4 linked regions of the Tamandua tetradactyla genome follow. The protein of the gene in region 2 purifies or fractionates together with the protein of the main gene of each other region. This does not show direct contact. Links are inferred from orthologs where the notes say so. Each region holds a gene or a part of one and is shown on either strand. Other genes may lie near its edges.

What was found.
Region 1: the proteins of DNAJC7 (region 2) and DNAJB1 purify together in Homo sapiens (affinity purification with mass spectrometry; 3 studies listed by BioGRID and IntAct, with this or other methods). This does not show direct contact. The link is inferred for Tamandua tetradactyla from reciprocal best matches to the Homo sapiens genes DNAJC7 and DNAJB1.
Region 3: the proteins of DNAJC7 (region 2) and VPS13C purify together in Homo sapiens (co-immunoprecipitation; 4 studies listed by BioGRID and IntAct, counting the BioPlex papers as one, with this or other methods). This does not show direct contact. The link is inferred for Tamandua tetradactyla from reciprocal best matches to the Homo sapiens genes DNAJC7 and VPS13C.
Region 4: the proteins of DNAJC7 (region 2) and PLD2 purify together in Homo sapiens (affinity purification with mass spectrometry; 3 studies listed by BioGRID and IntAct, counting the BioPlex papers as one, with this or other methods). This does not show direct contact. The link is inferred for Tamandua tetradactyla from reciprocal best matches to the Homo sapiens genes DNAJC7 and PLD2.

The regions. Positions count from the first base shown.
Region 1 is NC_135337.1:88,457,047-88,464,290, reverse strand, and holds the start of DNAJB1 (dnaJ homolog subfamily B member 1), read right to left. Parts: upstream 3,035-7,244; 5' UTR 2,941-3,034; coding exon 2,730-2,940; intron 1,836-2,729; coding exon 1,255-1,835; intron 963-1,254; coding exon 732-962; 3' UTR 1-731. UniProt on the Homo sapiens protein: Interacts with HSP70 and can stimulate its ATPase activity. Stimulates the association between HSC70 and HIP. Negatively regulates heat shock-induced HSF1 transcriptional activity during the attenuation and recovery phase period of the heat shock response.
Region 2 is NC_135332.1:25,200,221-25,207,877, forward strand, and holds the start of DNAJC7 (dnaJ homolog subfamily C member 7), read left to right. Parts: upstream 1-4,655; 5' UTR 4,656-4,708; coding exon 4,709-4,785; intron 4,786-7,657. Other genes in the region: NKIRAS2 (NF-kappa-B inhibitor-interacting Ras-like protein 2), read right to left, coding at 444-685, 1,119-1,212. UniProt on the Homo sapiens protein: Acts as a co-chaperone regulating the molecular chaperones HSP70 and HSP90 in folding of steroid receptors, such as the glucocorticoid receptor and the progesterone receptor.
Region 3 is NC_135340.1:78,224,844-78,232,127, reverse strand, and holds the start of VPS13C (intermembrane lipid transfer protein VPS13C), read left to right. Parts: upstream 1-4,244; 5' UTR 4,245-4,327; coding exon 4,328-4,427; intron 4,428-7,284. UniProt on the Homo sapiens protein: Mediates the transfer of lipids between membranes at organelle contact sites. Necessary for proper mitochondrial function and maintenance of mitochondrial transmembrane potential.
Region 4 is NC_135332.1:60,581,419-60,588,947, reverse strand, and holds the start of PLD2 (phospholipase D2), read left to right. Parts: upstream 1-4,482; 5' UTR 4,483-4,579; intron 4,580-5,089; 5' UTR 5,090-5,090; coding exon 5,091-5,199; intron 5,200-5,288; coding exon 5,289-5,419; intron 5,420-5,521; coding exon 5,522-5,664; intron 5,665-6,078; coding exon 6,079-6,184; intron 6,185-6,276; coding exon 6,277-6,342; intron 6,343-6,486; coding exon 6,487-6,545; intron 6,546-6,685; coding exon 6,686-6,778; intron 6,779-6,876; coding exon 6,877-7,029; intron 7,030-7,507; coding exon 7,508-7,529.

The sequences.
Region 1 (7,244 bases), on a different chromosome or scaffold from region 2:
CTTACAGGAAAAGAAAGGGTGTGAGCTGTGAATGAACACGCTCAGCCTCACCAGAGCTGGGGTCCCAGGGCCTCTTCCACCCTCCGGCCAGAACCCCAGACCCCAGCAGCAGAGGCTGTCTGCACGACTCACTCACTTGAGGCCAGCTCCCTTGGTCCCGCTGGAAGGAGATATTGCTTGTGAGTGCCGGCCAGGCAGTACTGTAGAAATAATCTAGGTTCTCAATTTGAGATGACAGAAGAGAAGACAGCATTCTCCAGGGGAACAGCAAGACATTGAAGATAAATACAGAATAAAACACGGACTGATCACATAACGGAATGGGAAGAGTATACGGTCTGGTAACTAAGGTGGCAGGCTGGACCCAACCCCAACAGCTGCAAGCAAAAGGACTACAGAGGATCAAGTCCAGCTGTGGGTTTGCCTCTCGCCCCACCTGTAGGCTGAGGAGGGGTGGGGGGCTCACACCGGCAGGGGCTGCAGGACCCAGGGGGGCCAACCAGGTGCCTTTTCCTGCACTCCCCACCACCTACCACCCTATCTTTTGAAAAACCACTTAAGTCTAGCACACAACTTTGAAAGATTGTAATATATTCTCTGGAAAACATTCAGCAGTATGAAAGCCCTCCCTGGGCCACCCCGCCCTCTCATGGGCCCACAACTGGTAGAACGGTCCAGAAAGCCTCACGCTCCAGAAAGGTCCCTGGTCAGTCCTTGGGGAGTGCAGGTGACTATATAGGAAGAACCTGCTCCAGTACGGTTCTTGACGTCTGGGGAATCCTTTCAGGGAAGATGACTTCAAATTCAATAATGAGGTCCCCGCGTTTCTCAGGTGTTTTGGGCAGGGGGAGGCCTTCTCCAGGAACTTTTCGCCTCATGCCGGGCCTGATGACATCTTTGAAAACGACGGGTTTGGTCCTGCCGTCCAAGGTGGGGACGTTCACCGTGCAGCCACACAGAGCCTTGGGAAGCAAATGGACAACATTAGATGGAGGATGGCTTAGGAAGCACTACTCCTGCCCAGAAGTTTGGAGACAGGTGAGATCCATCAGACCCCTGCAGCTGGGACCCTGCCTCCAAATCTACTCAGATCACTGGGACAAAACTCTGAAAGAGCCCTAGTCAGTCTGGTTCACTGCCATATCCCCTGAGGCCGGCACACACTAAGCCCTTACAACTATTTGTTGAGGAAATACTGCCTGCTTCAAAGAATAGCCCTGTCCACCGCAGACACTGTGCCACCTAGCACCTTACCTCCCGAAGGCTGATCCTGGCTGGGTAAACGACATCAGAGCCATCTCTCTTAAAGATATTGTGTGGCTTGTCCTTTAAAACAAAGACAATGTCGGCTGGAATGTTGTTGGAGGTCTGGTCTCCTTCCTTGGGGAAGGTGATTTTGGTCCCTTCTTTCCACCCTCTCTTCACTTCAATGGTTAAGATCTTGTCTTCGTTGCGAATGCTCTTTCCGTCAGGGTTCAGTCGCTTGTGGGAGATTTTCATTTTCTTGGTACAGCCGCTATAGATCTCTTCAAGCGAGACCCGGAGGTCGTGGGTGACAGGAGGATCCTGTTTCTTCCTGGAGGGCTCCTGGGAGGGGCGGGAGCGGCCAAAGTTCACGCTGGTGAAGCTACCCATGCCCATGGGGAAGCCGGAGAATGGGTCGTCGATGTCCATGCCTTCCTCTCCGTTCCGCTGGCTGAAAAAGTTGTCAAAGGGATTTCGACCACCAAAGATCTCCGCAAACATGGCATGGGGGTCTCCGTGGAACGTGTAGCTGAAAGAGGTACCATTAGCACCACCGCTGCTCCCACCACTGGGACCACCGCCTTTCAGGCCTGAAAAGCAAAACCGGAAGTTGTCAGGCAGCTAGCCAGAACTTCTCTGGAAAGGTTTACATAAGAGAAAAGAACTTGGGAACCCTCCGAAGACAAATTCTGTGGGATCTGTTAAGAAAAGCAAGGAAGAAGCCGAAGCCTCTGCAGCACCAGATGAGACTGACAGTGGATACCAGCCTAAGCCCCGGGTTGGGCATCCCTCGGTGCCACTCAGGCTAGGCCATCTCTTGGCTGGTTCATCCTCCCCACCAACGTTATTTCAAGGATTTACCAGAAACCAGATGCAAAGGCCGGAGTCAGTATAAGCCCTCCCTGTTTGCTCTTGACATCTTCCGGCTAGTGGTGTGCATGGGAAGAGTAGAAAAAAATAAGAAATAAACTGACGTTTTCAAGTTGTCACCATCCTGTACCAACATTAGCTGCCACCATCTTACACAAAGTCGGCTCATTTCTTGAGCCCAAAAGCCAGGGTGAGTCACCAAGGGGCAAGTGGACAACAGGAAAATCTCTTTCTCTTCCCCCTGAGGAGGGCCATCCTAGCCCGCCTCTCCTACGTGCCGGGCCCGGTGAACACCGCAGTCGCCCGCGGGGGGCGGGGGGGGGGCGATAGGCGCCCCCTCCCCGCAGGTCGTGCCCTATGCGGGCCGCGGGCCCAGGTGCGCCCAGGTGAAGCCAGGTGCACCCGGGACCGTGGGCGGCGGCGCCCAGGGAGGAGTAGCCCGGGCTTGCTAGAAGCTTCTGGGCGAGCAGCGCAGCCAGGGCTCCTCCTCCCAGGGCGGGGACCCCGCGGGCAGGCGGCGGCGGCAGCTCCCCGGGCAGGCTGGGATCGCCCCCCAAGCCTCGGTTTCCCCGCCTGTCAAACGGCGGAGGCGCGCCTCGGCCGCACGCACACACCTTCCTCCCCGTAGCGGTCGAAGATGTCGCGCTTGCGCGGGTCGCTGAGCACGTCGTAGGCCTCGGCGATCTCCTTGAACTTCTCCTCGGCGCCGGGCTCCTTGTTCTTATCCGGGTGGTAGCGCAGCGCCTGGCGGCGATAGGCCCGCTTGATCTCCTCGTCCGACGCGCCGCGGGCCAGGCCCAGCGTCTGGTAGTAGTCCTTGCCCATAGCCCCCGTCTGCGGCCCGCCGCCCCGCTTTTGCCGCGCCCCGGCTCCGCCGCCGCCGCCCGCTCCCAGACTGTATATACCCGCCCGGCGGAAGCTTCCAGAGCCCGCCAGCCCCCTCCAGAACCTTCCGCCCCGCCCCCCGCACTGCGCCGGCCAATCGCCGCCGCCCGCCCCGCGACGCGCGACGTCCGGGGCGGGGCTGTGCCGCCAACGGCCGACGGCGCGCGGCCCCGCCCCTCCCGCCAGCAGCCTCGGCAACGCCTCGCTGCGGCGCGTCCTCCCCCCCGGCTGGAGGCGGCCCCGCCCAGCTCTCCCCCGGGAGAGCCAATCGGGGTTTGCTTCCGCCCCGCCCGCCGGCTAGGCTGGCCGCGAGCCCCGCCCTCTGCGCGACTCCGCGAGTGATGACGCGCTCCCACCCTACGACCGGCCGCCCTCGCCGGGAAGGGGCGGGACTAGCTGTGGGCCCGCCCTCCGAATATGTTCCGCCGGGTCCCCAGGAGCTGTTTAATCCGCCGGCCCGCCAAATCCCAGGGCCCCGCCGGGTGGCTCAGGGGGAGTGGCAGTGCCTCTCCTTTCCCCAGCCCCACCCCCCAGCCCCACCCCGCCCCCTGTAATATGGGCATAAAAAATACCCCTGACCTCACCATACAGGTGATGCAAAGGTCACCTTTCCGGAGAAGTGTTCCAGTCCCTTCCCTCCTACATTTTGCTTTGACCGATATCTCAAAAGCACCTGCCACTGAAATCTGAAATAATCTGGCCCCTTGGCTTTCATCCTGACCCCCCCCACACAAACCCCGGGGCCTGTGGCCTCTGCCAGGGCAGGGACCTGGTCCGGTCTCCACTGGGACCCGGTGCCTGGGACAAAATCTGGCCAGCTGTGCACCTTTCATAAATATTCCTGGTTGCTCGGACGCAGCTGCTTCTTTTTCTCTCCCCACTACCTTTTTGATTTGGGGGATGGACACAGCTCTCAGTGCTTCCATTTGCTCATGTGTGGAACAGTCTGAGTTTGGCGTGCCCCTGACCAAGGACAGAATTGATGAGGAAAAGCGGTGCGGAAAGAGGCGTAGGGAAGAAGGGCCAGGGTGAACGGCGGTTCTGGAGGACAGCCCAGGAGGCCAGCGCTCTAGAGCCTCTGGAGCCAGAAGGTGGAGTCTGATTCCCAGTTCCAGCACTTCCTGGCTGCGTGAGTTTCGGCTGGGTCCTTGACTGTTCTCAGCCTCAGTTGTGCCATCTGTACAATGGGATAACTGTTGTATCTTTTGTTCTGAAGTTTACAAGAGTTGACATTTGTCAAGTGCTGAGGACAGCTGTGAAAAGGGTGAATTACCAGTTTGTTCAGTGGTGGGCTGCTGAGCCACCCCGTTCCTGGGCAGCATCACAGCAAAACCTCTGGTGACTGCTTGCCTGCTCTGGTGCAGGCTGAGATTTCCAAGAAAGAAAACCCAGCAGCCTTCTCCTGGTGCCTGGACCTCCCTGCCCACTCACTGACCCCAAGAAAACCCTGTCAGCAAAGACTTTGGACTAGGACAGGGCAAGGGTCCTGAACCAGTTATAAGGGAGAGAGAATTTGATACTTAAAAAGTTGTGTGAATATTGATTGGAGAGGCTATTCTGGGGGCTATTCTTATGCAAGCTTCAGTGAAATATTGCTATTTACCTAGGTTTGCCAAACCCCAACCAAAACCATTCCTGCCAACCTTAAAGAACTTTATCTGAGCTTCTACAGAGGTTCCATGCACTCGAGTAACTTTCCTGAAACCTATAACCTCCAGATGGGCTCCTAGGCCAGATAAGTCCTGAAACCCAGAGGGGCCAGCCTCTCCAAGAACATCAACTAGTTCCATTCCCTTATCCTATACTGCTGATAGCCCTTTCCAACATGAAAAAGCTAGAATGGGCATAGCCCAAATACCCCTAAAGATTGGCAGAAGCATCAAAGGAGAAGGAGGAGTTATAACAGAGAAGACAGGATTTAACAAATGAGTATGATTGCTGAATGGTTATATTGGTATTTCTTTTAATCTCCAGTGTCTTGGAACAGCTAGAAGGAAAAACCTAAAATTGTGAAACTGTAACCCAAAGCAATAATTGAAATCTGTTCTATTTGTTCCATTGTACTATGAAATTTATTGCTTTTTGGTATATGTTATATTTCATAATAAAAAAATGTTTAAAAAAAGTTATGTAAACAAATAATAGCTGAATAGGAGGCGAGTCACCATCGTGGGGGAACAAAACAGAGCTTTATGGACTTCCTTACACTCTAGGATTTTATAGTGTGACGTAATTGGGAGTTACAAATGTGGCAGTGACATCTTTTTGCTGATGTTTTGGCCTCCATAGGTCTTAGCCAGGACTTAACTTGGCTCTGGTTTTACAAATGGTTCTTTCCAGACCCGAGGGCAAGGAAACGCTGGGCCACGGGTCACTCCCTTCCTCCTGAAACAAGCCAGGGACACGTTTTAGAAGTTTTTTTTTTTTTTAAAAAAAACAAAGCTCTCCTTTGACCTAGGCAAATGAGTGGTCATTTCAGAATAGTACAGGGAAAGTGGCCTCCGTGGAAACCTCAGCCAATCTTGGGCTCTCTGAGAAGCTAAGAGGGCAGGGCTGAGGTCAGCCTGCCACTGTGCAAATCCTGGACCCATTGTTTATGCTTCTTTACTGACTCATTGATCTTACACAACTTGCTTGATCTTTTGGAGCTTCAGGTCACTCCTCTGTAAAATGGGAATAAGGGAGGACGGTCCCTGCTGAGGTTGCTAGGTGGACCATGTGAGAGAGGCCGGGTAATTAATATTTTAATGACAGCTGCTGCTGACCTGGCTGTGCTTTGTGCCAGGCGTGTTCATGCATGAATTCATTTAAGCTGCCGGACAGCCTCTGAAGTGGAACTAGTGTTACCTCCATTTTACAGGTGGAAAACTGAGGCCCTGAATGGTTACATGACTTGTCTAAGGTTACCCATTCAGTAAAGTGCTGAAGCGTAGCAGGCTTGGCATACTTAAGTAGTATGTAATGCAGGTGATAATAGAGCTTTAATTAAAAAAAAATAGCCTTACAAGTGCATCAACTGTTCACCTGTACATCCAAAGACTTTCAAGAGCAAGCCGGCCGTATGATCTGGAAATCCCACTCCCGTGAAACACCTGAGTGAAATGAAGTCTGTTCATATCCGCCGTGGGTGCTCACTGTGGTTTTGTCTATAATCACCAAAAGGAAATAACCGGAATGTCCTCCAATGAGTTAGTGGATAAACGAATGTGATCTGTATGTATGAAGGAATACTACTCTGCTATAAAAAAGAACTGGTGACTGCTACATGAAACAATGCAGACAAACCTCAAATGCATTGTGTTTAGTGAAAGAAGCCAGACTCAAAAATCCATCTACGAGAATAAAAAAGTATTTGCAAAGCCCCCTGGAGGAACTGGGGAGAAAGGAGGAAATCTTAAACTTCCCCTCCTGGGGAATTCCTGATATTCTCGCAAGCAGTGGGGACAACCAATTTAATAGGCCGAGCCCTTGATCTTGGGGTTTGCCCCTATGAAACTTATTGCCTCAAAGGAGAAGCTAAAGCCTACTTATAATAATGCCTAAGAGTCATCCCCAGAGAACCTCTTTCGTTACTCAGATGGGGCCTCTCTCTCTAAGCCAACTCAGTAGGTGAACTCACTGCCCTCTGCCTTATGTGGGACATGACTCCCAGGGGTGTAAATCTCCCTGGCAGTGTGTGAAAGAACTCCTGGGATGAGCTGGGACTGGCATCACAGGATTGAGAAAGTTTTCTTGATCAAAAGGGGAAGAGAGAAATGAGAAAAAATAAAGTGTCAGTGGCTGAGAGATTTTAAACAGAGTTGAGAAGCTATCCTTGAGGTTATTCTTATGCATTATATAGATATCCTTTTTTAGTGTATGGTGTATTAGAGTGGCTGGAGGGAATTACCTGAAACCGTTGAACTGTATTTCATATTCCAGTAGCCTTGATTCTTGAAGATGATTATATAACTATATAGCTTTTACACTGTGACCGTGTGATTGCGAAAACCTTGTGGTTGATGCTCCCTTTATCCAGGGTATGGACAGAGGAGTGAAAAAAAACAAGACAAAAAAATAAATAATAAGGGAGACAAAGGGTAAAAAAAAAAAAGGGTAGATTGCAATACTAGTGGTCAATGAGAAGGGGTATGGGATGTATGGGTTTTTCTCATTCCTTTTTATTTCTTTTTCTGGAGTGATGCAAATGTTCTAAAATTGATCATGGTGATGGATACACAATTATGTGATGATATTGTGAGCCA
Region 2 (7,657 bases):
GGGAAAAGGTTACTTTTCCCTCTCCCTCCCCTGTTCAAGTTTTGGCCTCCACTGACAGTACCTTCAGGAATTCTATTACAAGCTGTGTCTTACCCATTCCTGCTCACCAATAGCAGCTGGTTAGTTTTTGGTTATACAGGTGAGCACATACTCAGAACACTTGCAGCTTAAAACGTGATTTAGGGAAATAGAAGGCCTTTATAGATGCAGGTATGTAGTAGTAAAAAAGAAAGCTAGTAAATGGGGGGCTTCATGCGTTGGGTCAGGGATTCCTTAAACTGCAGAGAAGCCTCTCTGGTTGAGCAGACTCACCATGTGGCCAACTCTAGGCATGAAGATACCCTCCAGTGGCTTCCACATCCCCTCCTCAGGCCCCTAACTCCTAGCCAGGGTCCACTCTCACTCCCAACTTGAAGCTCCCACCAGAAGACCAGGGCACACACCTCCTTCTTGTCCTTGGATTTGTCAATCTCCTTCTTGAGCAGCTCCACGCGTTGAAAGGACTCTCGGCTATCCGTGCTATAGACCAGGACGTAGCCGTCCGTGCAAGAGAAGCAGTGCCGGGGCAGCTCAGCCCCATCTCGAAGCCCCCGGGTGTCATAGAAACGCACCTGCTCCCGCACCCCCCGGTCTGTCTCAATGGAGCCCACGTAGATGTCTTCCTGTGTCTCAATCATCTCAGAGCCTTGGATAAAATGAGGAGGGTACTTGTTTGAAGGGGAAGAGGGAGATGGAATTGTGAAGGATTGAGAGTATACTGCCAGGCTGAGCAGAAAGGGAGTGGAAGGAATGTCAGGGCAAAGGAGAGAATGACAGAGACAGAATCTGGAAGATTCCAGAGACTGTCCCTGGAATGATTTCAGAGACAGACATTGGTCTCATCCTAAAACTATGCTAGGCAAAAACATGACTTGGGAACTCCCTATCTTGGATATTGGGTTTCCTTCCTCTGGATTCACAGAGAGGATGTTCTCACCTTCAATGATGTAGGGTTGGGGGCAAGCTTTACTCTTCACTTTGCAAAACACATCATGAGTAGCTCTCGGCCTATGCATGTTGGTATCAAATCCTGCTTTCCACTTCTTTCCACCCCACTACCCACTTTCAACAACACTCACCCACTACATGGTTCCCATACAGAAGCTGTTCCAGGATTGAAGTTTTGCCCACAGATGCCTGGCCGCACACAACCACCTTGCAGCTCTTCCCCATGCTTAGCCTTCAACCTTGAGGAATAGAAGAACAGTAGGTGAGGTGGGGGAAGAAAGGAACAAAACAAGTGGCAGACCTCCCATAACCGAGACCCCAAGTTTTAAACCTAACATGGAGCCTCAGGGATTCAACACTGTCCCAAAAATTAGTCAGCGTGTAGTGAACTGATGTGTCCATATATCCACTACTGGACAGTGAGCTGTATTTGATTCATCTTTGTTTTTCTCAGCACATGGCTCAGTAAATGTTACCATAAGGGATAAGGAGAGATGTTGGTTTAACCACTGGCCGGGTCCTTTCTGTGCACAAGATGCTGAGGGAACCAGTTACTAAAGGCGGCTCTGGCCCAGTTTCTTCTTTTTAACCATGACCCTATGGAGAAATAAGCAGGGTTTCTATTTCGACTGGATCTGCCTTAAGCCAGCCTTAACAAAGGGTGAGGGAGATTAAGCAAATCAAGGAGGACAACTGACTTTCCTGTAAAATTTATTTGGACAATCACTATTAACCTCTAAATGCCAGTCAGGTTCATGGTTAAGATAAAGGACACCAGACAAAAAAGGAAGGAGTGAAAGAATCAGAAAACAGGGCTTCGGAAAGGAGATAATATTTGCTGCAGGGGATAATACAAAGACCCTTGGGCTGCAGACCCTTCAGAGAAGGCCCAAACAGAGAAAGCCGCGGAAGTCCTAGAGAGCCCCCAGAAGGCACCTCAAACACAAGCTTCCAGAAAAAGCCATACACAAAGTTTTCGCAGAAAGCAGAGACCACTCCTAAAGGGGAACCCTAAACAGAAACTTCTCTAGAGGAGCGCCCTACAGAGTTTCCCAATTAAGGAATATCCAAGAGAGGCCACCAGAGGGACCTACGCCTTAGATTTCCCTCACGAGGGGACCTCCAGAGTTAAACAGAAGCAGAGACCTGCTCAAAGACAGTGGCCGATTCCGGGAGCCGGACAAGTCCCGCTTCCCAGCTCCGCACCTCGCGAGGTTCTCGCTGCACCCCAGCTGGGCCCCTCCAAGCCAGGACCCGACCAGGGGCGGCACCACCGCATGAACTTCCCTCTTCCTCCCGGGTCGGTCCCAGCTCCGCCTGACCCCGCCCCCGCCTCGCGCCCGCCCCTCAGCTTCCGGCTGGCAAGAAGAACTCCGGCGGTAGAGAGTGGCGCCTGCAGCACAGCGCCTCCAGAGGCGGGCGGGGGAAATGACGGTCGCGACTTTGCCTGACTGTGCGCGGGAGCACCGTAAGATCCAAAGCATACTAACCCTTCGTTTACTCAGTCATTTATTCGTCAAATGTTTTCTGAACACCTACTCTGTGCCACGTGCACGGCCACGCGCTGAAAAAACGCAGACGAATTAGACACTGAAGCTGCAACAGAACTTCACAGACTATAGGAGCTAGACATGTAAACCAACGATTACAGTACAACATGGTAAGTACTATCACAGAGGTGCTATGAAGCAACAGCAAAGGGACATCAGGGAGAATCTTCTGGAGGAGGTCATGTCTGGGCTGATATTTGAAGGGCTTTCAGGGGAAAAGGTTGTTATAGGATGCAGGAAACATGGCAAGAGTCATGGTGTTTTCCGGAACTGCAAGTACTTGGGTTCAGTAAAAATGGTAAAAGGGAGCCAAATAATCACAGGCCTTTGTGGTAGGCCAAAGAGATCAAACCGTATCTTGACAGCAATGGAACGTCATTGATAGGATATATGCCAGTGAAGTGACATGACCAGTTTTCAGTTTTAGTACTGGTAGAAGAGTGAAGATTGGAGAAAGATGAGACTGGGGACCAATTAGGAGATTATTGTGGTATTCCAAGTTAAATAAAATAAACATGACAGCCTGAATTGGGATGAAAAGGAGGAGATAGATTTGCGAGATATTTGCTAGGAAAATCAACAAGACGTGGTGATAAGTTGGGAGTTGAGTGAAAAATAGAGAGTTCATGATGTCTCCCAGCTTTCTCATTTGGTTGTGGGGTGAATGGTGAATCCATGCAAACAAGAAAGTGAATCCAGGGAAAGAGAATCATGTGTAACATTTGTTTTTTTCTGTTGTTGAGGGGTGGGGAGAAAATAAAGTCAATGTAAGTATGTTAAGCCTCAGAGATTTGTGAAACATCCAATAGATGCCCGGTAGATAGTTAGATATATACAGATCTGGAACTTAGAAGAGAGATCTAGATTGGAGATAAATATCTAGGAGTTATCAACAGATGGAAGTTAAAACTGTGACAGTAGATGAGTTGACTTAGGTATCGAGGACACAAAGCAGGAAAATGGTCAAAGACACGTCTGCCTCCTGCATTAGACTGTTGAGCCATTAGCAGGCAGGTAAGTTGCTCTCCCAGCCCAGCCCAGAGCAGGCACTTCCAAGAGGGCCAGTGAATGACTGCTTGGATAAATGACCTGACCTATGTGATTTTAGCTCCTTCAGCACTTGGGAGGCAGGGACCATGCAATCGGGGTATGGACACCGGCACATACTGTTTTACTGGAGGAAGGGAAGATCCTTTTCAAGTTCCCTTGCCTACTTCTTTAGTTCCCCTTAGTTTTAACTTTTGACCTCAGAAACTACCCCTCCCCCCACCCATTTAATTCAAAGCCCACGAATTTTATTGGTTTGGGTGAGGGAAGTACTACAAAGATGATTAAGCTGTCTCTTTGTCCTCTGAGTTCCCAAGCTAGACTGCATTCAGACAGCGTACTGAGCGGGAGTTTATGTGAAGGGCGGGAGTACTGGGGGACCCTGTGGAGCAGGGACCTGCCTTATAAACTCCAGGGCACGGACGGGGCGCCGTGTTATCCTCCCTAGGCGTAATGCTGAGGTGGCACTCCCAGGAGGCCGACATAAAAGTAGGCTCATAAAAGGGTCAGCGTCATTAGGGTGATGAACCAGTTGGTGCTTGGAGATCTGGGGGGATGAAAGGCGCGGAATGAAGACGCCCTGCGTTCCCCTGGCTTGGTTGGGCAGGGTTTCCAAGTGCCGACGAAAGCGGAGGAACTGGGCTCGTAGTGTGTCTTCTTGCCTTTCTCGGGAGGAAGCCTTGGCTACTCTCCAAGGTCAGGAAGGTAGTACTGGGAACTCTTTCCCTCCAGATTCCTGGGTTACTGGGTCCTTACGCAAACCCAGACTCCCCTAGGCTTTACAGGAGACTCTCTAGGGCTGAGTTGCTATGGCAACGAGGCCCTCCGACTCCTAAGGAAAGCCAAGGTTTAGAAAGGCGACACCTTCCAGCATCTCCTTCCAACCCAGGGGCAAAGTGGCGCCCCCTACGCACAGGAACCGTTCCTGGGCTCCCGCCCCTGCACGGAGACCATCATGGACCGCCGGAGGAGGGAGGCCGCTCTGGCCTCACGTGGAGCCTCTCGCTGGTAGAAGGGCCCGAGGGAGCCCCTCTGGGCGCGCCGCGGCTGAGCTCCTCGATGCTCCTGCCGGAAGTGCTCTTCACCGCCCGCCTCCCACCCGGCTCTCTGGTCTCGGCGGTAAGATGGCGGCTACCGCGGAGTGCGATGTGGTAATGGCGGCGACCGAGTCAGAGCTGCTCAATGACGAAGAGGCGAAGAGGTAACCGGGTGGAAGGGTAGCGGAGGGAGCGAGCTTCAGTTTGGGGTAACCGGCTCCTGCCATGATGCAGCCCCAGCGGTTGGGACCATGCCCCGCCCTCCGCGAATCCCTCCCCCCCCCATCTGAGATCAGGTCCGGATGGACCCCCTGAAGGAGCGCTCTTGGGGGTCGGTCTTTTCCTGCAGCTTCCGCCTGGCAGCTGAGGCACGTCCTGTTCTCCAGCTGGAGAAAGGTCGTTCTTATTGTAGAAGCTGAGTCTCTGAAGGGGGGGATGGATCTCAGAAGTCTGTTGCGGGTGGGGAGCGGCGCGGCAACAATGACGACTTCCTTACATTGCCCCGGACTCCCGCCTTCTCCTGCTAACTTCTGTGCGTTGTTTTCTGTCAGCATTTTGCATCTCCGAAGCCCCTGCTCTTCTCAGCTCACTCTCCAGTAATTACACCCCAGCGACCTGTAGTCTGGGTCCGAGGTGATTGAATGTCTCCATTGTTAACCCGGTCAGCTCTGCCACTCCCTGGTTACCCCAGAAGTTGAAGATGATAGAGAAAGGAGGAAGGTTAGGGACTTGCTTGTCTTTCCCAAGCAGGATCCTCATTTCTCCCAGCTCTTTTCTCATAAGTGAAGCAACTGCTTGGGTGACGCTGGCAGTGCTGGGCAACTGCAGTGACTCGAGATTACCAGGTCCGACTAGTTGAGGGAGCAGCTGCTGAGTGAGTGATTTTCGCGAACACTCTGGATTCTGGGTAAAGCTAAGGCAGGTTATGGAAGTGTGAGGTACACAGTTGTGGGTGTCATACTTCGTCTAATCCAAAAGCAGAGTGGACAGAAAGGTTCTGGGAGTTTGAAGCCCTTTCCTTATCAACTGCAGGTTATTTTCATCCTTTTGTTTAGGGTTGTCTACAATACTCAGAGTTTCTCTCCCGCATATTTCAGTCTGAGTGATTTGAGGTGATGATGTAGAATTCATTTATGAAGTCTGAAATCAGGGTTCTGAGATTTCCACTATCTAAACATAAGAGGTACTCAGTAAGGTGAATAGTTTTTGAGCTTAAGGGAACTTACCACAGCCATTGCCTCAAGTTCCTTATCTGTTGGGAGCCTAAGGGTTTTGGTGGAGTGTGGTAGGTCCCTGGGATATCAGAGAAGGCAGGATACCAGAGTCCAGTCTCTCTCTGTTCCTTGTTTTGAGCTTTCACATTTTTCCTAGTTCTTTCCAATATATGAGCAGAATTAAGCATCATCTGGTCATATACTTTATTAAGGAATTGCAAAATGGGAAATAAGAACACCTCCCAATTTAGACCTTAAATTGAATGGTAAGGATTTCCTTTACGTGTGTTTTTGGAAGAGTTCTGTGGTTTTTTTGTGCTATAACTAGAGAATTGGACTATGTGTAATTTTAAAAACATCCTTCCCAGTGTAAATTTCTGTTGTAGGGGCGGTCCTTATTTTAAGCCTCATTTCAAAGTCTTCTATTAAACTTTTTTTTTTTTTAAAGGAAAATCCTTTTCCTTAAAAAAAAGTCACAGGTTGATTTTTTGCCATATAAGACACCTTTAGGAGGGTAAATAGGATCTGTTAGACTGGAAAAAAACTTATCTTATTTTTGTGGGTTTTTTTGTGGGGGGGTTCGTGTTTTTTTAATTTTTTATTGACAAATCTTCACAAACATACAGTCCGTACATGGTATACAATCAGTGGCTCACAATATCATGACATAGTTGTGTATTCTTTGCCGTAATCATTTAAAACATTTTTTTATTAATTAAAAAAAAAATTATAACAAACAACATTCTTAACATATGATCATTCCTTTCTACACATACAAGCAGTAATTTACAAGATCATCATCATCATGATCATTTCATCATCATGATCATTTCTTAGAACATTTGCATCAGTTCAGAAAAAGAAATAAAAAGACAATAGAAAAAAATTCAAACATACTTACCTCTTACCCCTCCCTTTCATTGATCACTAGCATTTCAATCTACTAAATTTAGAAAAAAACTTATTTATGTATGATTTTCCAATGCTGAAAATGGAGTACAGATTTAGAAACTTTGGAGGGAGATTGTTTTACATTTTGTATATGTCCTGGAATCCTGTGTAGCCCTAATAGAGGTAGGGACAGGGCATACAAGGGCATACAACTGCCCCTGTATAGTCTGGCTTGTTCAGAGACATTTGACCAAGTTCCTGTTTCTCTTGTTAACAGTCCTACTACCAGTTCATTTGGGCACATGGGAGTTAGTGGGTCTCTTGGGTTGTTTATTGGAGGTCTAGCACATGAGCTTTTGCTGGAGTCCTGCAAGAAGTCTTTCCTTCCTTGCATCTTTGCTCAAGGGTATCTTGCTGCTACTGCTAAGTTTTGAGAGTCCTACCAGAGAGGAAATGAAAGGAACTTTTAAGACATAGGACCTCATCATTGTAGCATTTTAAATGGCTACATACTTTATTTTTTTAGCTTTTCATATCTCTAGAGAGAAAAAAAAGATGGACTTCAATTTTTTAGCTTGCCATTCTGACAGTTCTTTTCCCACATAGCAGCTGAGAGGCTAAAATAAAAATGTATTATTTGGTATTCCAAAGTAGATCAGGTTCTCTGTATGAAGATTATTTGTTTCTCTTTGCCCATCAGAACAGATAAAGCTACTTAGGAGCCAGAGGATGAAATTTCAGAAGTTTTAAATTTCAACTAATTTAAGATACTAGCTTCACATTTTCCTGAGACGTTGTGAGTGCTTTACCTTATTGGCTAAGGTGACTAGCAGGGCCCGTGCCATTTTTTCTCAAATTAAGGTTCTTTGGTCATAGCTCCTGGGCTGGGAAGCAGCTTGCTCTCGCTAGGTAATCTTTTATTCTAAAATTC
Region 3 (7,284 bases), on a different chromosome or scaffold from region 2:
TTAAATTATGGTTACCTTGACTGCATCCACAGCTAATTGTGTTTGTAATCAGCTAAGGGGAGTATCTTCTGCAATGAGTGATGCTTAATCTAATAACCAGAAGGCTTTTTTTTTTTTTTTTCACAGTTGTAATTGTCTTTTATTTTAGGTCTGAGTGGATTATCACTTTTCTCTGTTCATACTGAATGATACTAATGACCTCTTTGTAGCAGGTCTACAAAAATTGGTTTTCACAGGGCATGACTATAACCAGAAGGCTTTTAAGGAGGATTCAGAAGAGACAGTTACTCTTCCTGCTTCAGCCAGTGAGCCTCTCCTGTGGAGTTCGTCCAGACCCTCCATTGGAGTTGCCAGCTTCACAGCCTGACCTACGATTTTGGACCCATCCATTTCTATGGTTGTCCAGCCAGCCTCTCCTGAGAGTTTGTTGAGGAGCTTCATCAACCAGCTTGTAACTGGTTCTACATTCCCACCGTTATGTGAGACACTTTTATAAATTTTATATCTATGGATATCTCCTGCTGATTTGTTTCTTTACAGAACCCCACCTAATGAAGGTGGTAACTTTTGATTAGAATGTTTCCATGGAGATGTGTCTCCATCCATTCAAGGTGGGGTAGCTTACTGGAGTCCTTTAAGAGGAAACCATTTTAGAAAAAGCTTTAGATGGAGAGAGCCACACAGCCAGAGATCTTTGGAGATGCAGGAGAGCACCCCTTATTTATTTATTTCTTATGAAATGAAATGAAAAACCCAGGAGAGAAAGATAGAAGATGCCAGTCATGTGCTTTTCCAGCTGACAAAGGTGTTCTGGACCCATTGGCCTTTCTTGAGTCAAGGTATGTTTCCCTGGATGCCTTAGTTTGGTCATTTTCATGGCCTTAGAACTGTAAAATTGCAACTTAATAAATTCCCCTTTTTAAAAGCCATTCCATTTCAGGTATATTGCATTCCAGCAGCTTTTATAAACTAAAACACTTGGCATAAAAAAACACACGATGACTCATGAAGTATAACTGAAGCACTAAGTAAAATGTAATGATGCATATAAAAACACACATAAATTATTCTTTCAAAAGTTAAAGTATCATAGAAGTGCAAAGAATTATTACCATACAAGGCATTAGTGTTGCCCACCTCTCTCAAGAGACTGTAACTTCTCTTCCACAGTCTTGACAGTTCCATTCTTCCTGTGGCATTTCTCATACAATCTCGCATTACCATTTGCATATGTTCTTGTACTGGTTTGTTTCTTAGCTTTTTATGCTGCATGCCTAATTTTTAAAAAAAATATTTTTATTGTCAAATCTTAACAAACATACATTCTTGACGTACAAATATTCTGTACATGGTATACAATCAAGTGGCTCACAATATCATCACATAGTTATGTATTCATCGCCATGATTATACTCCTTACCCCCCTCTCATTGAGCACTAGTATTTCAATCTACTCAATTTATATTAATCTTTGTTCCCCTATTATTTGTTTATTTTTCATCCATATTTTTTACTCATCTGTCCATACCCTAGATAAAAGGAGCATCAGACACAAGATTTGCATAATCACACAGTCACATTATAAAAGCTGTATCATTATGCAATCATCTTCAAGAAACATGGCTACTGGAACACAGCTCTACAGTTTCAGGTACTTCCCTCTAGCCACATATACCATAAACTAAAATGGGATATCTATATAATATGTAAGAATAACCTCCAGGATAACCTCTCAACTCTGTTTGAAATCTGTCAGCCACTCATTCTTCATTTTGTCTCATTTCTCTCTTTCCCCTTTTGGTCGAGAAGGTTTTCTCAATCCCTTGATGCTGAATCCCAACTCATCCCTGGATTTCTGTCCCACGTTGCCAGGGAGGTTTACACTCCTGGAAGTCATGTCCCACATAGAAGGGGAAGGCATGAGATCACTTGCCCTGTCAGCTTAGAGAGAGGCTACATCTGAGCAACAAAAGAGGTTCTTTTGGGGTGACTCTTGGGCTTAATTTTAAGTTGGCTTAGCTTATCCTTTGCAGGGATAAGTTTCATAGGGGCAAACCCCAAGATCAAGGGCTCAGTCTATTGATTTTGTTGTCCCCAGTCTTGTGAGAATATAAAAAATTCTCCAAATGGTGAAGTTGAATATTTCCCTCTTTCTCTCCATTTCCCAAGGGGACTTTCCAAATAATTCTTTATTCACTGTCCATACCACTCTGGGATTTATTGAGGCATCACATGAACCTGGACAAACCAACAAAATCTCATGCTGTGTTCAAGATTCCATGTACTTATAGTGTTCATTTAAACTGACCAGACAAGTTAAATTAGGAATACATGCCTAACCTTAACTAGAACATATATTGTTTCTTTGCAGTCCACTCAGTTGGTGTCAGTGAACAAGGAGAGAGTGGATGTTAAGGGGACAAGTCTAGAAGGATAATTTGGGGACAGATTGCTGAGGGCATTTCAAACACTGGAAAGTTATTGGGTGTTTCTGAGCCAGAGACTAACCTGTCCTTTGGGAAACTAATTTTGGTGCCAGTATGAAGAATGAATTGGAAAAAGGGAAAAACTGGAGGCCAGACTAGACATTTAGGAGACAGGGAAGATGCAGAATAGACAGGTTTGGCTTTTAATTGATTGTAGATGGTGAAGAAGAGAAGTCCAGAAGCCTCCTGGGTAGTTTGTCTGCCTAACTGAGAAAGGGAAAACAAATGGTTAAGGATTTATTTTCTGTTTGCAGGAATGAAGGATGGAGGCATATGTTGATAATACTAGTTAGTGCTGGTTCTATCTTTTTTTTGTATCATTCCTCTTATGTGACACCAACTGAAAAGGTTTTGATTTTCTTCTTTTTCTTCTCCAATGGACTTTAAGAAATGACTTTCTTTTGATTCCATTGAAGCCTAGATTGTTTATTATTAGAACAATATGCACATACACTGCTTTAGTTTCTTTTTTTAGTAGTGTTTTAAAAAAAGTTTTATTTATTTATTTATTTATTTATTTTTGCATGGGCAGGTGAGAACTCTGCCTGTTGAGCCACCGTGGCCTGCCCTGTTTTAGTTTCTTAGGCTGCTTAAAGCAAGTACCATGAAATAGTTCAGCTAAAACAATGGGAATTTATTAGCTTACGGTTTTCAGGCTGAGAAAATATCCAAATCAAGATATTATCAAGGTGGTATTTCTCTCTCTCCTTACAAAGGGTTCACCCACAGGACTAGAGTAAATTTTAAAGTTTTTCAGGGGTACACACAACTTCAAACCACCACATACACTTTCACTCATTAACTCCTAGCAAGAGATTTCTTACACTTATCTGTTTACTATATTTCAAAGTTTTTTGGGCATTTTAGAAAAAAAAATCCAGTCTCTAAAAGATGACATTTGCCAATGAGTAGTTTAATTTTACCAGGGCCGAATTCCTTGCGGTATAAATTATCTGCATTTAACGTCTTGCTACCAAGACAATCCAATGATAGCATGGAAACAAGTTATATGTAACAGGTAACACATACTTTCAGAAAAAGGCCTAAGTTTTATTTTTATTTCCGCAATGAGGTATAATCAAGAAGTTATGTTGGCTTGTGACTTAATAGTCAATCAAGCACAGGAGGGAGAAAAACAATGAGTTTTCAACAAAGCGTATGTTCAATTCCCATTTTACTTGCCATCTCATGAGGCGGTTCTGTTGCAATATCTTTTTTAAATTATTAAAGTGTGTTTTTAAGGAGCAAGCCTTGCCTCGTGTACAGCTGAAATCCAACAACAAAAATGCAGTGTCCCCTTAGCCCTACTTGACCCATAAGGTGAAGAGGCGGTTGCTTAGAGGTGCTCAACACTATACTTGGGAAGCGCCGGGCTCCCTCCCGGCCGGCCCTGGGAATTGGGGGGTGCGAGGGTGGGGAGGCGTCATGAAGCTGCCTACGCCCCAGATGGCGAGCTCCGCGGGATCCAGGTCAAGAGGGGGGCGGCTGCAGGGAAGCAGAGCTGCCACTTAGATGTGCCCGTGCTCAGTAACTCCTGCCTCCCCTTTTTTCATTTCTAACGTCCCTTTCCGTTCAGCCAGAGCTGCCAAGGGGCTGCCCCCGCCGTTCCCCGACTAGTCCTCAAGCGGCTCCAGCTGCGGAGACCACGCGGGCGCAGCGCGGAGACCCACAACCCCTTTCCCGGCGCTGGCGGCGGCGCGCGTGCGCACGAGCGGAGTCACGCGGCTGCGCGGCGCCAGGCGGGACGGGACCCCGGGGGCTGTCATTCGCGGCTTGGGTCTCCGCCCTCAGCCGCGCCGGGCGGTTCTGGCTCCTCCCTCTCCAGCAGCCTCAGCCCCACGATGGTGTTCGAGTCGGTGGTCGCGGACCTACTGAATCGCTTCCTGGGGGATTATGTGGAGAACCTGGACAAGTCCCAGTTGAAGCTGGGGATTTGGGGCGGTAAGCGAGCGGGTAGCTGCAGGCGGGCTTCCTGGGCCGAGGAGGCGACGCCTGGGGCTCCGCCAAGCTCCGCCTCCTTCCCGGGCCCTGCTCCCTTCGCCGCCAGGGACTGCTCAGCGCTGGGCGCCCGGAGGATTTCCCCTCCCGGGGCGGCAGATGCGGGGCTTAGAGGCCTGTGTTCACCCCCGCCGCACTCGGCCCCCCGGGGCTCCCGGCTCCTGATGCGGGAGATGCGGCGGGTCCGCCCTGGCACTGCCCCAGTTCGCTCCGTTTGGGTCACTGAGGTCTAAATCCTTGCCCACCCTGGGGCCCTGTCGCTGTCCTGAGTTGGCTCCACGACATGAAAAGAAAATCTTTCCCGCTCTGGTTGTGGCAAGGATGGCTGCGTGGTCATAAACACTAACCAAGTGGTACCAAGGGAAAGGAAAAAGGAGATTGCATTTCGCAGTTATCTTTTCTGGCATTTTATAGAGAACAAGAACTAGCTGCCTTCTTTTTAGAATTGGGGTTTGTAGATAAGTAGGCGACGATCTTTAACAAAGGCACGTCAGTGGGGATTCTTAACTGTTAAGGATATGAGTTTTTGAGAAAGCGATTTCTTTCCTCTGTTTACTTTTCTTTCCTAAGAAAGAGGGTTTTCAGATTTGTTTAGAAGGGATAGACAGTCAAGCTACGACCAGCATCATCGTTAATTATGCTTGGTTGCCCAGGAATTTACGCAAGCTTTCCTATTCTAGAGGGTTGAGTGTATAAGAGTAGACAATAGTATGTGTGCACACTCTTAAAAAAGCTTAATTATTTGCACTAATTACACATTAAGCTTTGGGGGCATTAAGGATACTTGCTCACTCTATCAGAGTTGGGAATTGTGTCAGCTTTGCAGGGAAATCGAAAGCACAGCTCAGATGGATGGACTGCTTTGAATTCAGTCAACAAATAGTTATAGAACTGCACTGTCCAATAGCATAGTGCTACTGTGACTATTGAGCGTTTGAAATGTGGGTTGTCCCCACATGTGCTGTAAAGTGTAAAACACATGCCATCTTTTGAATACTCTGAATAATACTCTCAATCAGGAGAAAAATAATATAAAGTCCTTCACTCATATTTTTAATGTTGATTGCATGTTGAAAATTTTGAATATATTGAGTTAGATAAATACATTAACATTCATTTCCCTTGATTCTACTTTTTTAAAAACGTGGCTACTGAATAATTGATAATAACGTATGTGTTAGTAGAACCATCAGCCTGCCCTGACTTGTGGAGGAACCTCATTTTAATAGATTGATTACTGAGCTTTTGATTGGTTCAGTATGGTTTGCATATCAATCCATGCATGTTTACATCCCCCACCACAATAAATATGCGAAAGAAAGGCAAATAAAGAGAGACGTTTAAGGAATTTGAATGCCTAGTGCCCTCTAAAGTTCTAGTATTTCTTCAGATTACTATCTAATAGTATAAATTTTTTCTTCTAGTTTGAAAACATTACTTGAAATTTGAAAAAGCACTGCACTGCACTGGCGTTTAGACAGCCTGGGTTCTAGGCCTAATGAGGTGTTGTGTGGGGCGAGCCATTAATCTCATTGGGCTTTAGTTTCTTCATCTTTATTTAAACCTTAATGGAAAAATGTTTTTAAATTATGGAAATTTTAGATTATGCAGTATAATGTAACATTCCCATGTAACCACTACCCAAATTTTAATAAGTGCTCTATTTACATTAGGTTCTTTTTTTTTTTTTTAGTAAAGTATATGTATACAAAGATTTTTTTTCCCCACTAAATCTTATTCTCTTTTTCTTCATTTTAAAAATTAGGGATTGAACTAGGTCACATCTAAGGGTCCTTACAGTGCCAATACTCTGTGATTGTAAGTGAAAATATTTTTATTATGAAATTATGGAGTAAATTTTTTCACAACAGAAATTAAAATGCCCCAATGTTATGTCATTCCTTCTGTCCCCCTCCCCCCCTTTTTGGTAAAATCTGGGAAAGGCGACTTTGTTTTCTTTCATTCTGTAGGTGCTATATCGCAAGATAAAACCAGCTTTTTTCACAATAAGATATTCTGCCAGTGGACAATATCAAATTTATTGTTGGCCTGACCAAATAAACCCATTTATTTAATAAATTATATCCAGTCAAACTCTGATCAGGGATTTCCTCAGCTTTATCGGCACATGACTCTGCTTAGCCAAAGTTTTGCTGCCGTTTAGTTTTGTCGATGTTGTAACGGAAGTTAGAAGCCATGAACTTTTGTAGTTATTGCTCAATAGATTGTCTTTATAAGCTTGAATTCCCTGTTGAAAGAGAAGTCCAAAAATCTGTTTGACTGTTTCTACTCTTTGAAAATATTGCTTAAAAAGTTTGTCTTAAACTTTTTTTGGTAAACAAGTGGAAATATTAAGTTAATTTGATAAAATAGCAATTAAGTTACTTTAACGAAATGACTGATGTTGGTGACATCCATAATATTGAAATGTTTTACAAAGAATTGCAAATTTTAAACAGTCTTATTGACAGTGCTTTAGCAAATAATGTTTACGTGTTTATAGTGTTTGGCTTTTTTCAGTTTTGCCCTAAATTGAATTTACAAGTCTAGAGACTTGGAAGAATTCAAGCCTATTAATATTCATGTACTTGATCTTGCTAGTCTTTAGAAATAAATGTTGATACTTCGTAACTAGGTTTTTGAGTAACTGAAGGCAGTGGTTTTTCAACCGAGATAATTTTGCCTACCAGGGAACATTTGGCAATGTCCGGGTATGCTTTTGATTGTCATGACTTGGGAGGTGCTACTGGCATCTAGTGGGTGGAGGCCAAGGATGCTGCTAAATATCCTGCAATGCCCA
Region 4 (7,529 bases), about 35 Mb from region 2:
TAAACCATGGTCTTTAATTAATAGTACAATTATAAAAATGTTCTATCATTAATTGTAACAAATGTTCCACACCAATGCATAGTGTTGATGACGGTGTGGTGTATGAGAATCCAGTATTTTAAGCATGATTGTTCTGTAAACCCACTTCTCAAAAAAAAAAAACTTGGCAAAAGACTTGAACAGACACGTCACAAAAGAAGGTATACAAATGGCCAGTAAGCACACAGAAAGATGGTCAACATTATTATCATCAGAGAAATGTAAATACAACCACAATGACAAAGCACTTCACATCTATTAGAATAGCTAACAATTGAAAAGACTGACAATATCAAGTGTCAGTGATGCTGTAGAGCAACTGGAACTTTCATACCTTATTATGGAAGTATAAAATGAAACAATCGAAAAGCTTTGAGAGCAGCACACACAGAAGCTAAGGGAAGACAAAGAAGTTCAGAAAGAAAGCCAAAGACAATGCAGCCAGAAACTAAAAACAAAAGAAACCCAAGACAAAAGAACCAGCACATGCCACATGTGAATCCCATGATCACCAGCTTGTCTTAAGGAAGAAGGGATCATCTTGAGGATACCTTGATTTGAACATTTTCACAGCCTGAAAACGGTTAGCTTGTAAACTATTTAATCCACATTGTTAAAAGTCAGCCCATTAAAAAAAAAATTTAAAAAAGTCAGCCCATTTCTGGTCTACTGCATTTCAGAAACTATAGCTAACTAAAAACAGATATCAACACACAAATATCAGCAGTGTTTCCATACATTATAATGAGCAATCTGAGGAGGAAATCAAGAAAAAATTTCCATTAACAATAGCAGTTAAAAGAATCAGATATCTAGGAATAAATTTAACAAAGGATGTAAAGGACCTATAAAACATTGCTCAAGGAAGACCTAAATAAATGGAAGGACATTCCGTGTTCATGGATTGGAAGACTAAATATTGTGAAGAAGTCAATTCTACCCAAACTGATTTACAAATTCAACACAATCTCAATCAAAATTCCAAAACCCAACTTTGCAGAAATGGAAAAGCCAATCATCAAATTTATTTGGAAGGACAAGGGGCCCCAAATAGGCAAAAACATCTTGAGAAGGAAGAACAAAGTTGGAGGACTCATACTTTCTGACTTTAAAGCATATTACAAAGCTACAGTGGTCAAAACAGCATAAAGATAGATATATTGATACCACCATAAAGATAGATATATTGATCAATGGAATCAAATTGAGAGTTCAGAGATAGATCCTCACATCTATGGTCAATTGATTTTTTAGAAGGCTGCCAAATCCACTCAACTGGGACAAATGGTCTATTCAACAAATGGTGCTGGGAGAACTGGATATCCATATTCAAAAGAGTGAAAAAGGATCCCTATCTGACACCTTATAAAAAAAAGTAACTCAAAACGGATTAAAAAAAGCCTAAATAAAAGAACTAGGACATAAAACTCCTAGAAGAAATTGTAGGGAAACATCCTCAAGAGCTTGTGGTAGGAGGTGGTTTCTTAGACTTTACACTCAAAGCACAATCAACAAAAGAAGAAATAGACAAATTGGGCCTCCTCAAAATTAAATACTTTTGTGCTTAAAGGACTTCATCAAGAAAATGAAAAGGCAGCCTACTCAATGGGAAAAAATATTTTGAAATCATATATGTGATATGGGTTTAATAGCTAGAATATATAAAGAAATCCCACCATTCAACAACAAAAAGACAAACATCCCAATTTAAAAAGGGGCAAAAGACTCGTATAGAAAATTTTTCGAAGAGGAACTACAAATGGCTATAAAGCACATGAAAAGATGTTTAATTCACTAGCTATTAGTGAAATGCAAATCAAAATCACAGTGAGATATCAACTATAATGGCCACTATCAAAAACACAGAAAAACACAAGTGTTGGAGAGGATGTGAAGAAATAGGAACACTCATTCACTGCTGGTGAGGATGTTAAATGGTGCAACTGTGGAAGATAGTTTGGCAGTTCCTCAGGAAGCTAAATGTAGAATTGCCAAATAATCTGGAGAGTCTGCTACTTAGGTATATCCTCAAAAGAACTGAAAGCAGAAGAACTAAAACAGACATGTGCACACCTATTTTCACAGCGGTATTATTCATAATTGCCAAAAGATGAAAAGAGCCTGTCCATCACCTGATGAAAAATAAAATGTGGTATATATGTACAATGGAATATTAATCAGCTGTAAGAAGGAATGAAGTCCTGATGCATGAAACAACATGGATGAAGCTTAAAGACATTCTTTTGAGTGAAATAAGCCAGACACAAAAGGACAAATATTGTATGATCTTACTAATATGAACTAATTAAAATGAACCAACTCTAGGAGTTAAAATCTAGAGTATAGGTTACCAGGAGATAGAATTATGGATAGAGATTGGGGAGCCAATGCTTAATTTGTATAGAATTTTTAATAAGGTTGATTGTAAATATTTGGAAATAGATAAAGGAGATGCTGGCACATTACCATGAGTGTAATTAACAGCGCTGAATTATGAGTGTGTTCACAGTCGAAAGGGGAAGTTTAGGATTGTGTATGTCACGAGAAGGAAAGCTAGAGAAAAACCATGGGACTATATAACATACTGAATCGTGTTGTAGACAATGACTGTGGTTAGTTGTACAAATGTAAGAATGGACTCACATGAATTAGAAACAAATGTACTTCACTATTATAAGGTGTTAATAATAGGGTGGTATCTGGGAAAAATACAACTAATTAAAACTATAGACTAGAATTATGTTCTTTCATAAATTGTAGCAAAGGTACTATACCAATAAAAAGTGTCAAAAATGGTGGGGGAGTTATAAGAGGTATGGGATTTTTCATTCTGGAGCAATCAGAATGTTCTTTAATTGATTGTGGTGATGAAGGCACAGCTCTGTGATTACACTGAGTCATTAATTGTACACTTTGGATGAATTGTATGGTGTGTGAATAAAACTGTCTTAAACATTGGGCAACAGTGGCTCAGTGACAGAGTTCTCGCCTGCCATGCCAGAGACCTGGGTTCGATTCCCAGTGCCTGCCCATGTAAAAAAAAAAAAAAAAACTGTTTTAAATATTTTTTTAAATGATAAAGGCTAAAAGTCAGGAGAACATCATCTTTAAAGTACTGAAAAGGAAAAAACTGTCAAACCACAAACCTATGCCCAATGAAAATATCCTATAGTGAACGAAATAAAGATATATTCATAAAAATAAAATTCAAGACAATTTATTACCAGCAAATCTGCCCAACAAAGAAAAAATTTTTGATCAAATTCTTCAGACTAAAGAGAAATGAGACAAATGAGAACTCAGATTTCAGGAAGAAGTGCAATTCCTCAGAAACACGGTAATAATAAAAGATACATTTTCCTCTTCTACTTTTCTAAATACCTGTGACTGTTTACAGCAAAAAAAAAAGTGCATTTAGTAGTTTGTATATATAAATGCAATAATGTAAAAACTATAGCTTGAAAGAGTGATGTTAAACTAACTCTCCAGTTCCAAGATTCTTTTGGGGGGCGGTGGGGGACCGGCCCCGCATGGTCCGGGAATTGATTGCGGATCTCCTGCATAAAAGGCGAGCATTCTACCACTGAACCATCCGTGCACCCTCCAGTGGCAAGATTCGTGCCCAAAAAACAAACAAACAAAAAAACCCACAATCATTTTGGAAAGCAGTCTGGCAGTTTCTTATACACATTACTAGGACCCAGCAACTCCACTCCTAGCTGTTTACCCAAGAGAAATAAAAATGCAAATTGATACAAAAACTTGTAAAGAAGCTTTATTCATAATTGCCAAAACCAAAATCTAAATATCCTTCAAAAAGAGAGAAAAATTCACCTATCCAATCCATCCATCCATCCATCCATCCATCCATCTAATCGTCTTTTAGGACCTGAGGATTTCCCTGCTTGCCCCCAGACTATAAATTGCAGGAGAGCAGGTTCCCTCGTACTCCGTCCCACCTGAAGCAGGTGCGCAAGTTGGGCGAATGAATGAACGCAAGCATACATTTGTAGCCACCATCCCTTCGGCCTTGTATAGTCCCCTCATTCCTTCCACCGACTTCGCTGGCTGGACTAGGCCGGACCCGGTCCGCAGCTGGCTGGGGAAGGGGACCCGGCAGACCCGCCTCGCCCGCGGGCTGAGGAGAGCCCGGCGCCCGAGCAGTGAGCAGTGTGCGCAGCGCGGAGTCCCACCCGGCGGCGGCAAGGTCCGCTGGGACGGACGACGCGGGATGGACCGACAGACTGGTGGACAGCCCCGACAGCCGGACGCACCCGGCCGAGCATCCAGCCCCACCCGGCCCAGGGCGACCCCCCGACCCAGGGCTACGCGCAGCACGGCGGGGCGGGCCGAGGGCGGCGGGGGCGGGACAGGACAGACGAGAATCCCGCGGAGGTGAGGCCGGGGACCGTCCCGCCCCCGAAGGCAGACCCTGAGCCCCGGCCCCGCCCCGGCCGCCGGGGTGGAGGCTCCGGCTCAGAGCTCCGCGCTGCTCCCCACAGCACGCCAACCCGTGCGGGCGTCGCCTTCGGCTTCCAGGGTGAGAGGACCGGGGTGGGATTGCCTTCCGAAATCTTGGGTCCCGGAAATCGGGCGGGGACCGGGATGGGCTCGGCTGCGGGGCCTCCTGACTCAGCCCCCACTCTCAGATTTCGGGGTTTCCCTCCCCGGTTGCGGGCGCGTAACTTCCTCACTCCCGCCCGGACCCCCTCTCGCAGCTGGCTGGGCCCGACTCTGGCCCCGGCGGCCCCAGGCCCCTCTCGCTACCCTAGGTCCCTCCTCCCAGCTTCTGCTCTGTCCCGTCCGGACCTGGCTGGGGGCCCCTCGGTGCCCTAGTTACGGGACAGGGGCGGGGCGGAGGGATTCGGGATGAAGGACTACGGCAGAGGATGGAAGTTAGAGGGGAGTCTGCGGAACTTTGCAGACCCTTGGGCGGTGATTACAGGTTGTGGTCTAGGTGGGTGGAGGAGAGGGCCTGTGGGAGCTGGAGATCCCTGGGTTTGGGATACTTGAGGCAGGCCACCTCCCTGATACCTCCTGGTATTCCTAGGATGATGGCGACCCCGGGGAGCCCATTCTACAGTGGGGGTGACCTGGACTCAAGCCAGTTGCAGATGGAGCCCGATGAGGTGGACACTCTGAGGGAGGGCGAGGACCCAGGTACTCAGGAATGAAGACCTTCAGGGAAAGGAGGGCCAGGGGACTGTGGCTTCCTGGGATCTGCACTCCTCTGCTTTCTTTCCTCCTAGCTGACCGGATGCACCCCTTTCTGGCCATCTATGACCTTCAGCCTCTGAAAATGCACCCCTTGGTGTTTGCCTCTGGAGTCCCTGTCACAGCCCAGGTGGTGGGCACTGAAAGATACACCAGTGGCTCCAAGGTGCCTGGGCTGGTACCAGGGTGGTGGGTAGAGGGAGGGGTGGCCAGAGTGGAGGGCTGGGACCTGACCAGGGCCGGTCGACCCTGTTCCTCACTCCCCCAGGTGGGAACCTGCACTCTATATTCTGTCCGTTTGACTCATGGAAACTTCACCTGGACAACCAAAAAGAAGTTTCGCCATTTCCAGGAGCTGCACCGGGACCTCCTGCGACACAAAGTCTTGATGAGTCTGCTCCCTCTGGCTCGGTGAGAGGGAAGGAGCTGTTTCCTGTGAAGGGCAGGTGCCCCTCACTCTGGCAGCATGGACTACCCCAGCCCTCTTCTCTCCTTTCTTCCTCTTTCACCCCCAGATGCTTTCCTTCCCCTTAACTCTGGCCACTGGTCCCCCTCCGCTAACGTTGATGGCTGGGAAAACTTCCCTGCCCAGCTCTCCATGGTTCTGTGCCAGTATCTCAACTGGGCTGGATGCCCGAAATGCCCTTGGCAGCTTCCCCCCTTCCCTTGTCTCCATTCCCGGGGCAGGGTGGGGGTTGGGGGTGTGCTCCCTTCTGCCAGTCTCTAGGCCTCTTGCCCTCCCCAAAGGTCCCACCTTCAATACTCCAGAGATCCAGGCACCCAGCCTCCCAACTCTTACCTGTCCCTCCCCCATCTCTTCCACAGCTTTGCCGTTGCCTATTCTCCAGCCCGAGAGGCAGCCAACAGGGAGATGCCCTCTTTACCCCGAGTGGGTCCCGAGGGTTCCACCAGACATGCAGCTAGCAAGCAGGTGCGAATGGACACCAGGGCCTCTGGGAAGGTTTGGCATATAAATGGCTCTGGGCCCATCTGTCTTTCTCTCTCCCCTCATCCCCACTCCAGAAATACCTGGAGAATTATCTCAACTGCCTCCTGGCCATGTCTTTCTACCGCAACTACCATGCTATGGTAAGGTTCAAGAGCTGGATGCTTGGGTCCTTTGAGAAGGAGCAGTATAATCAGACCTCCAAGGGAGCAGAGGGCCAGAGTTGCTTGGGGCTGAGAGACTGAAAGTTTGGGGTCTCTTCTCTGAGCCTTTGTTTCCCTCTGCAGACGGAGTTCCTAGAAGTCAGTCAGCTCTCCTTTATTCCAGATCTTGGCTCCAAAGGCCTGTGAGTGTCTGATACCCTTCACCCGGCCATCTGCAAGATCTCTTTAGATCTCTCCCTGACTTGCGAATGGAAAAGACAGTGCGGGACGGGCTGAGGTTCTGGATTCCTCATCAAGCATCTCTTCCTGATTTTCCCCACAGGGAGGGGGTGATCCGGAAGCGCTCAGGGGGCCACCGGGTCCCTGGCCTCACTTGCTGTGGCCGAGACCAAGTTTGTTATCGCTGGTCCAAGAGGTGAGAGCTAGGGTAGAGCAGCCGGGCAGGGTGGGGGGTGGGGGTGAGGAGGGAGATCCTGAAGGCAGGGAGGAACGGTTGGAGCCCTTCCGCTCCAGGTGGCTGGTGGTGAAGGACTCCTTCCTGCTGTACATGTGCCTCGAGACCGGCGCCATCTCGTTTGTTCAACTCTTTGACCCTGGCTTCGAGGTGCAGGTGGGGAAGAGGAGCACAGAGGCACGGTATGGGGTCCGGATCGACACCTCCCACAGGTAAGACTTTTCTGAGGAGAGGAGAGCCAGCCCTAGGGCCCCGAGGGCTGATGAGGGGGAGAGACCTTGAAAAAAGAGGAAGGAATTTCCATCCTCCTTGATCTGGCCATGATTTTGAAACAGGCTGCTTAGCCCAGCTGGATGCCTGGGGCTGCTCTTCGAGTCTGGGGCTAGAGAAAGGGGGTTGAAAATAAGGAGCCCAGGGGAAGGGCTCTTGATATAAAAGAAAAGGAATTCCATTCATTCTGTTATTCTTCATTCAGCAAACCTGAGTGCCTGGTACAGCACCAGGTGCTGGGAACCCAGCTGCAAATGAGGCAAATATATGCCCTGTCACTGTAGAGGTGTGAGTTAGGGATTCAGGGAGCAAGTGGGAAAGAGGTGCTAGCCCCGCTGGGATGGTCTGTGTTGTGGCTGTGGTGTGGTCTCTGGTGTGGAGGGGGAGGACTGGTGGTCCAGCTCTCTGTTCTCTGTACAGATCCCTGATTCTCAAGTGCAGC